2 linked regions of the Ovis aries genome follow. The main gene of each other region encodes a partner of the protein of the gene in region 2 in a complex. Links are inferred from orthologs where the notes say so. Each region holds a gene or a part of one and is shown on either strand. Other genes may lie near its edges. The genes, in order: RHOG and DOCK5.

Region 1 (4,503 bases), on a different chromosome or scaffold from region 2:
TGCAGGAGGGGTCTTTAGTCTGGGCCCCCCATCTTCTTTTCAGTTGCTCAGCTACCTGCATTCTAATATCTTCCCAACTGTCTCACTACAGCCACAACCTCTAAAATCTTCCTGCTCATGACCCCCTAAAAATTTACGCCAGCCACTTCATCTGTCGTAACATCTTGCCAGAAACAACTCTCCGTATCCTAGATTCTCAACCAGGATCTTGACCTGAGTCACTTCTCTTCATGTCAAGAGACCCTGACCATAGTTTTTTTAGCCAAGACCTCAATGGCAGCCTCCTACAGCAGGTACATATTCCTCACCTCCACCCTCTGCAAAATATTTCCCCACTTAGATTCCCTGCACCTTGGTTATATTTTTCCGGTGGTGACTTTCATGCAATTAGCTCAAATCTTCAGTGGGGCCAGGTCTTGTCTGGGAGAACCCCTGTTTCATCCATCCTATCTTTTCTCTTAGAATCCTGTCGGTTGCTCAGTTATCTAAAATAAGTACTGGTTTGGTAGGTGGGAAGTCAGGACTCCTGGGTGGTTTTTTAACTGAGCCTTGATGCTGGGAAATTCCTTGCATATATGTCTTCCCTTGAGCTGGGATTTTTATGCAGGTCCTTGGGACTTCCTGCTGGGGCCAAAACTCTATACCTCCCAGAATGTCAGTAGGAAACAATCATGGGAACAGACAACTGTGAGAAGGGAAGGAGACATAATGGGGTACAGGAATGGCCCTTAAACCTAGCTGTGCTTGGGAATCCCACAAAAGTAGCACTTGCTCTCCTCCACTTCTCTTCTAGTGGAGAGAAATGAACAGAGTAGGCCTGAGAAGAGAGGGAAGCATGATCTCTCAGCATGCATCCCAAAGGCTCTAGAATGGAGACAGCAAGGCTTACAAAGAGCCAGGCTGGATTTCAGTTAGACTTGGAAGAAACTCCCAAAAGAGAGGGAATAAGCTCTTAGGTGAGAGGGGGAATATTAAGGATGCCTGAGGAAGAGGGGTAAGCAGAACTCTAGAGAGCTTCCTGGTCACCAAGGCTTTGATGCAGCCCAGGGCACGTGGAATCTGGCCTGGGCAGGCCCTGAAAGCAGCAGGAAAGAGCAGGCAGACACCTTTGCCTCATACCCCTCTTTTTTTCCTGAACTGGAACTAAGACATTTAAGATTGAAGTTAAACCAGCCATAGTCTTCCCTCTTGAACCCTGTACTTTCCTTCCATCACACCTAGCTGACCTGGTCCCCTTCTCCCCACCAGGAGGTGCTGGAACAAGTGAGCAATGGAGTCAGGGACTTTTAGGCTGTCCCCCAGGCTCCAGGCCTGGCCTCTTGACCAAGCACCTAAGGGTCTGGGAGATTTTGATTTCCCACGGCCTCTCTCACCAGTCCTATTCAATATTGTGTCACTCTACCCTGATACTCCGAATGCTACAGACTGCTTCCTCCTACCTAACCACAACCTCACCCAATGCAGGTTCCCTTCATTCTGCTGGCTTCCCCTGCTCTGGGCCCTCTCAAGGCTGAGGGCAGTTATTTTGTCTCCAAAAGATAAAGATATGTACATGTAGACACTTGCACGCACATACACATCTACAGGTTTTCCAAACCCTTCATCACTTTTATCAAGGGGAGGCTGCAGCCCACCTCATTGAACTAGGGTGGTCCAGTTCCCCAAAGCGGGAGATTCATTACTGAAAGGGAAGAAGACAGGGATCCATCACAGTGAGGGCAGATGGAAGAATCAAGAGGGTGGATATGTGTGCGGAGCCAGAAGCTGGGCAAGGAAGGGAGCAGGGAGGCCACAGGGAGAGGACAAGGATGGACAGAGAAGCAGGGCAGGGGAGAGGTCAGGGGCCAGGCATGACTGTGTGTTTGGGGAAAAAGCAACTGAAGAGGATACGAGAAGAGGGTGACAAAGGGTTCGCGGGTAGAGTCTGAAGAAGGAATGGAGGAAGACAGAATAACATGTAGAATTCAGGGACTAACAATGGGGGAGAGGGAAGACTAGGAGATGGCTCATCATTTTCCAAGGCTAGAGTCTTTGTGGCCTCCCAGAAGCCCTATTCTCTCCATCTCCTAAAAAACAGTCCTGCTCTCAGTGAGGCCCTCTCGCTAAGGATGATCAGCACCTCCGAGTAAGAGCCCTTCCACTTCTGTAACAGGGGAAGACCTGGTTCCTTTCCTTCCTCCGTCTACCCCGCCAATGAGCAGTGGCAGGCATCGGCCAGCTAGGCACAGCCGATGTTTGCTCACTACAATACTTGTTTCTCCGTTCCAGAGATGGAGAGGTTTTGCTTCAGACAGAGACACACAGAGAGAAGCACTAGGGTCGACCGGGGTTCCCCCACCTCCTGAGCACAGAGGACCTTGGGCTGCAGTCTGGACTGGCCTTGATCTTCCAGCGAAGGAGCTCCTTCTCCGCAGCCCAGGGCTTCAGAGGCAATAGACAGCCTCTCTCTCTACCTCACAAGTGTCACAACTGCCAGAGGAGTTCTCTAGCCCAGGGGCCCCTTCCCCTCAACACACTTCAGAACAGCCCTCCCGCAACTCCTGGGGGCACCCCATCTCTGAGTCTCATCTCCCAGCTCTGAGCTCTTCCCCTCAAGAGACTTTTCTCTCGGAGCGGGAGCCCCTCCGACCTCAGGAGTCCCTCGCGGCTCCCGGGGGCCGGTATCGCCGCCATCGGTACAGGAACCCCCACCCTCCCGGAGCCGTCGCCGGGTCGCAGTGGCCCGTGCCCGTCCCCGCCCCGCCCGGCCGGCCGCACCCGCCCAACTTGGAGCGAGCCGAGCACCTCCCGCCGCGGCCTCCCGAAGCCAAACTTCCCGGGCCTGCGCTCGCGTCCAGTCCCGGGCCGGCCGGGCTCCCTTCCCCCGGACCCTCAGCCCGCCGGCCGGGGCCGGGCCTCACCTGGTGCCCTCCCCGCTGCGGGGGAGCTGGGGGCGGCGGCAGCGGCTCGGGGCTCGAGAAGGAAGTGAGAGCGGGAGGCCGGAGGAAGTGGGGGGGGCGGGCCCGCCGGCGGGGCGGGGCGCGGGAGCGGGCCGGGCCGGGGCGGGGCCCGACCAGGAAGTCCGCGGGCCGGTCCCCCCCACCCCAGGTCGCCCCCAGCCGGTTGGCCCCCGGCCGGGTGCTGGCTCCCTCACCCCAGCCCTTTACCTCTGAGGCCCTTTAGGTCAGGGCGTCTAAGGTCAGTCCTCCCAGTCTCCTTGCCACCCGCAGCCCAGCAGAGGCCCTAGCCTAGGCGCTTGGATTTTGTGCCCCTCTCACCGTATCTTGCCCCCACCCACCCCTGCGAGAAGATGCTGAGAACGGGCGCCCCTAGGCCTGGTGCCTTCAGTCAAGCCCCGGGATCGAGCGATGGCCCAGGCTGGGATTTGGCCAGAATGGGTCCGGCTGGGACAGTCCCCACCCCTGCCCCGAGCCCCGGGGGAGCGCGGGGTGGCGGTGATTCAGCAGTGGGAAGGCCCCAGACCCCTGGGAAGGGTGCGGAGACTGGGGGAAGGGGAGCTGGCGTCAGCACCCGGGGAAAGACAAGATCAGCAGAGGCGCAGGCGGAGCCGCGGGCCCCAAAAACAGGATGTCGTGTCGTCGTTCCGCACCCGGCGGCTCCGCGCGCCTGGGCTCCGGCGAAGAAGCGGGGCGGGGCCAGGACGTGGGGCTCCCCTCGCCCCCTCTTCTCGCTGGGGCGCGCAACTGCTTGGGACAGAAGGACCGCACCCAGTCCTGAATCCTGCCGGGGCCCTGGGGATGGGCGGGTGGGCGGACTCGTGGGCGCCCTCTGGTGCTTCTGCTCTTAGGCCTTGCGCGTGGAGCTCTGACTTGAGAAAATATTCTTCGTCCAACACAAACTTTCTGAGTGCCTACCACGTGGAGGGCTGCGTGCTAGGTGCTGTGGAGGAAAACAGAGACGTTAACGAAAGGCTCCTTGTCTCCAAGAGGCTTTCCAGAGAAAGAGGAAGAACAACTCTTAGAATAAACTGTTCAACTTTTCTGAGCCTCCATTCTATCTTTGGCAATTTAGAATGACATCCCCTTCATCCTGCAGTTGTGAAGATGAGAATGGATGTAAAAGGCCTGCTGCCAGTGGCTGGCTCACAGTAAACACTCCAAATGCTTCTTTTCCTCTTTTTAAAAATCGTGTTAATGTAAGAATGAGTTCCCAAAACACAACGTGCCTGCCCATATCTTTGGGTCTTTGTGCATTCTATTCCTTCCACCTAACTTCTGTATTGACTGCCTGGCGAAATAGACTCAGCCTTTCACAATGGATCACTGCCTCCAACGAGACACACACACACACACACACACACACACGCCACCTCTGGCTTGCACTTGGTAGTCTCTCCCAGTGCTGTCTAGTCGAAATGTGAGCCACATATGTAACTTAAAATTTTCTAGTGCTGACATTTTTTTTAAAGTAAAAAGAAGGAATTCCCTGGCAGTTCAGTAGTTAGGACTCCACCCTTCCATTGCAGGGGACACCCGTTCAGTCCCTGGTCAAGGAACTAAGACC
Region 2 (4,431 bases):
TCCATGCCTGCTTTCTCAGCAGCATATCATTTTTTTTACTTGCAAAGATAAAGACAAACTTAAGGGTCTCGCTTCATCTAACAGAACAAGGTAAAAGTCATACTAGAGTGAATGAGATGTTAAAACCTAAGAGGGGAAAAAAAAAAAACTGCACTAAATTGTAGAAATCAGGTTGGTGCCTTAGAATGTCACACCAACGCCAAGGACAAGCAGTTACTGAATGCATGCTCTCTACCCGTATACCTCTAGTCCCAAGGATGCAATACCATAACCTTCTGATTCACTGAACCAAAGGTTAAGTAATAAAATGTAGGAATGTTGAGGAAGCAGCGTACCCTGGGTGAAAGGCCAGATTATGGGATTCAGAGGTGGAAGGGCACTCGGAACAGGGGACACGCATAGGAGCGAAGAGTCCCAGAGGAGGGACTCTCCGTGTACAGCACAAGAGGGAGAGGGCAGCGTCTGCGTTAGAGGGTTGATGAGAGAAGCGGTGAGAGATATGCTTTATGAAAACATACTGAGCTGGAGTCTTAAAACCTTGAAAACTGGGCTCGGTTTAGACTTTACCCTGCTGGCCAAGGAAGGCTTCCCAGCAGGGAGCTAGCATGATCACCATGTGTCTTGGGAATAAACAATGGACACTGATCCCATAAGCTCATCTGTCCTAACAGTGGGCCTTTTTATCAAACCCAGATTCATCACAATCTATTGTGTCGGCAACTCTGGTCAAAGTTATGTGGCAGCCTGGATGGGAGGGGAGTTTGGGGCAAAATGCATACATGTATGTACATGGTTGAGTTCCTTTGCTGTCCACCTGAAAACTATCACAAATACTGTTAATCACCTATACTTCAATACAAAATTAAAAGTTTTGTGTGTTTTTTTTTTTTGAAGTATCCATTGTGTCTAGGGAAATAAATTTTCTAAATGATACTCTGGGGCAATTTTGCCGCTACCTATACCTTTGAAATGCAATTCAATTTTCTTGACTGATGATAAAAATTAAAAAGAGAAAATACCACTCTTGTTACTATAACTATGGAAATAAAACCCATGTTTTTAGGATATGTTTGCCTTAACTATGCTAAACTCAGAATACTTTTGGAGAGAGTTTCTCCTATTAAACAAAATTAGAATTGATAATTTTTTGTGAGAAGTGTTGACTAGGCATTGCTAAATATACTTTCATCTAGGAGTTAGTACCCAGTTAACACAAACAAAGAAATTAGCTCCATCTGACTCCCAGAATTATTGGCTACTTACTAACTGGCACCTGAAAGCTCATGACCAAAGTATTAAGCAGAACTACAATCACAGAAGAGTGCAAGGATTCTAAAAGAAATTTAAAGGAAAAAGTTTTTGCAAAGGAAAAACAAGGAATCCTGTGCATATTATTGTATACACACACATATAAATATATACACGAGGATCACCATCTCAAAGTAATAAATATGAAAGAGTTGGTTTGTTTCTTTGTAACTGAATCAAGTCTTCCCAGTTGAAAAGCCCCTAGAGATCTCTCACTGAAACTGACAAAGCCGTCAGAAAACATAGAATAGGTTCCTCCCACTAAAGTGAGGGGGTAAAAAAATGCGAGCGAGATGGTAGTTAAGCCGAAGACTTACAAATATGCCCAATGAACGACCCTGAAAGGAAGTGATAAAATTCTCAACTGTGTTTATACTAGGGAATCGCCCCCAAGCCTAAAGCCACTTTAATCGCCCCACTAACAGCAGTCTTTCCACAAGACCTAAGCAACCTCACTCCTCGATAAAAAGTGGAAAGACCAAGAGTTTTCACCTGGGTTAAAGCCCCGCTCAACCACCGTTTCGGATCGAAAACTAACACGAAAGCAACCTCCTGCACATCCTGCCGGCCCTTCCAGCACCGCTGTTCGAAACGGCCAAGTGCCTAGCACAGGACCTGTCACAGTGTTCCCAGTAAAATGTCCTTGTCTTATCCCACGGCGGAATGGGGATTCAGAAGGCAGTCGGAGACCGTCTCCACTCACGCTTGGGTAGAGGACGACAGTCCGCACCAGCAGCCGCGGGGGCCAGCCACCCCCGCTCCCATACCACACACTTCCTGCCGCTTCCATCACCTCCACACCACAGCTTGAGTCTCCTGACCAGTTTACAACTGCTACAGGGATCCCTGTGCCTGGGAGGAGTTGGGAGAGGACGGCTCCCTACCGCCCCCCCGCAACAGCCCCCCCACAAACTCTTCACTTGGGGCCGCAGGGAGAACCTAAGAGCAAAGGCAGGAAGCGCTGGGGCAGCCCGCCGACTTCGCGTTCCACGGGCCTCGGCCGGTTACAAAGAACTGAATGAAGCTACACGGGCCGGAGCGGGCCGGTGGATTGGGGGACAGTGGGCGCGAGCACCGCGGCAGGGCGCCCCAAATGAAGCAGAGCGAGCGCCCGGGCTTTGCACGTTTCTACTCTGCAAAGCGCTGCAGCCTTGGGAGTCGGGGGGCAGGACAGCCAGTCCGGAAACCAACTGCACTTTTAGACACTCGGACTCCCCAAACTCAGAATGACCCCCCACCCTCCATGAGGCTCCCGGAGCGGGCTCCGGCTCACACCGCTCCCAGAACGAATGGGGCCCAAGCCGAGCCTTGGCGGCGCCCCGGCGGGTAGCGGCAGCCCGGTCCCGGGCAGGCGCGCACCGAGTGACCGTGCGTCCCCCGCCCAACTTTGCACCCGGCAGGGCCGCTCCCCCGAACTTGGCGGCGGCGGCGGCGGGGACGGGGTGGGGCGAGTACTCACCAACCCCATACTTCTGCCGCTTGGTCGGGATCCAGCGGGCCATGGCGGCGACCTCGCCCCGCGGCGGCGGCTGCGGCGGCTACAGCTCCTGGGGCTCGGACCGCCACCGCGCTGCGCACCGGCGCGCCCCGGGCCCTTCCGCCATGTTCCGGCAAACTTCGCTCGGCCCCGCGCGCCGCGCCGCCAGCTATACGCTCCGGCTCACACCGCGAGCCGCGGTCACCTGCTGCGCCCGGCAGCCACGCCGCCGTGCGCGCCCCTCCCGGCGCCGCCTCGGCCCCTCCCGCTGGCCGCGCCCTCCGCCCGCCAAGGCCGCCTCCGCGACACGACCCGCGGGCGCCGGCCAGCCAAGGTCTCCACGCTCTCCCGGGCCCAGGCCGGCTGCGCCTTGCACACTTCCCGGGAGCAGTTTCCCAGCACAGACTGGGGTACGGTTTTTTTGGTGTGTTTTTGTTTTTTTAAATCCTTTTAGTGTTTGGCTTCTTGCCCCTCGCCGTCCCCAACCGGGCTAAACCCTGGAGCCTGGATCCCCGGCGGCGGGGTGTCGGGAGGGCTGCGCTCGAGGGGTCGGGCACCCCCAGGCGGAGCAAGCGGGAGTAGATGCGGAGTCCTTCCTCACCGCGCGCTCTGCAACATCTAGGGGAACTAGGATGAGTGCATAGGATCTAAGATAAGTCGTTTCTAGCCGCCCGGGCTCTCGCAGTGCCAGGCACTCAACCGGCGCTCGATAAATATTTGTTGAATGAATGAGCAGCTGACTACTGCGTTCACCCCCTAGAGCTTTCGTTGTCACCACAAGAGCCGGAAGCCGGACTCCAAGGCAAACGTGATCTCCTGTGGCCATGGTTCATAGCCTTCAAAGCAGGAACATTTGTCTTCTGGTAAATAGAGAACTAATGGGAAGGAGCCGGGCTCCTCAGAAGTATCAAGTAGTTTCTTAGGGGAGCCCCTGAGCGAGAATTATGTAGCGAGTTCTGACTTGGAAATCTTATGTCCCCGGAAAACACCTGGGCTCCTCCCCAGCTGAAGAGACTCAGACCCAGCTAAAGAAATTTAGACCTACATGGTCCAGGGGAAAGCCCGCCCCAAAGACCTCCCTTTTCCAGCAGCCCTAAGAGTGTTCCTGCGGGGAAGGGGACGAGCACATCCGAATCTTTCCTGTTCACTAGCTGCACTGTTCAGAGTCAAACGCAGGGACTGCACATTTGAACAGCCCTGAGCTGTTGGCGTCCTCTGAAACTCTCCTCCTGGAACTCACTTCCATCTGGAGAGACCTCAAGAATGAAGATTGGATCCGAGTCCCAGGTGGCTGTGGGGCTCCTTGCTACCTAACCCATAGAAGTAAAATCTCAGAGTAAATGACCAGCTGATTCGGGTTCACCATCTGAGAAAAAGCCTCTTGAAATTGCTTTGTTCTCGCAGCCTATGAAGATTTTCTTGCCGATTTCGAATGTGAAAGGAAAATGAAATAAACACGTAATAAAAAAAAGCAAAACTTCACTGAAAACGGTGCATTTTAACTTTGGTAACTTTTTGCAAAGTCAGATCTGAATTTTTTTTAAGGTTTTGTTAATGGTGGGTAACTCTACGTATTTATTCATCAAATATAATAATAATTTAAGAAATCTAGTCACTTATTTAGACAACATTCAGAAGGGATTCCA

Evidence for each region.
Region 1: the proteins of DOCK5 (region 2) and RHOG are in contact, whole or in part, in a cryo-EM structure (PDB 8XM7), measured with the Homo sapiens proteins. The link is inferred for Ovis aries from reciprocal best matches to the Homo sapiens genes DOCK5 and RHOG. Residues at the interface, in NP_079216.4 of Homo sapiens: Val232, Phe345, Asn393, His394, Lys395, Gly396, Trp400; in NP_001656.2 of Homo sapiens: Ala121, Pro123, Leu126, Arg127, Arg128, Lys130.

What each region holds. Positions count from the first base shown.
Region 1 is NC_056068.1:49,994,164-49,998,666, reverse strand, and holds the start of RHOG (rho-related GTP-binding protein RhoG), read right to left. Parts: upstream 2,967-4,503; 5' UTR 2,357-2,966; exon of another isoform or gene 2,339-2,356; intron 1-2,338.
Region 2 is NC_056055.1:40,505,689-40,510,119, forward strand, and holds the start of DOCK5 (dedicator of cytokinesis protein 5), read right to left. Parts: upstream 2,993-4,431; 5' UTR 2,811-2,992; coding exon 2,768-2,810; intron 1-2,767. UniProt on the Homo sapiens protein: Guanine nucleotide exchange factor (GEF) for Rho and Rac. GEF proteins activate small GTPases by exchanging bound GDP for free GTP. Along with DOCK1, mediates CRK/CRKL regulation of epithelial and endothelial cell spreading and migration on type IV collagen.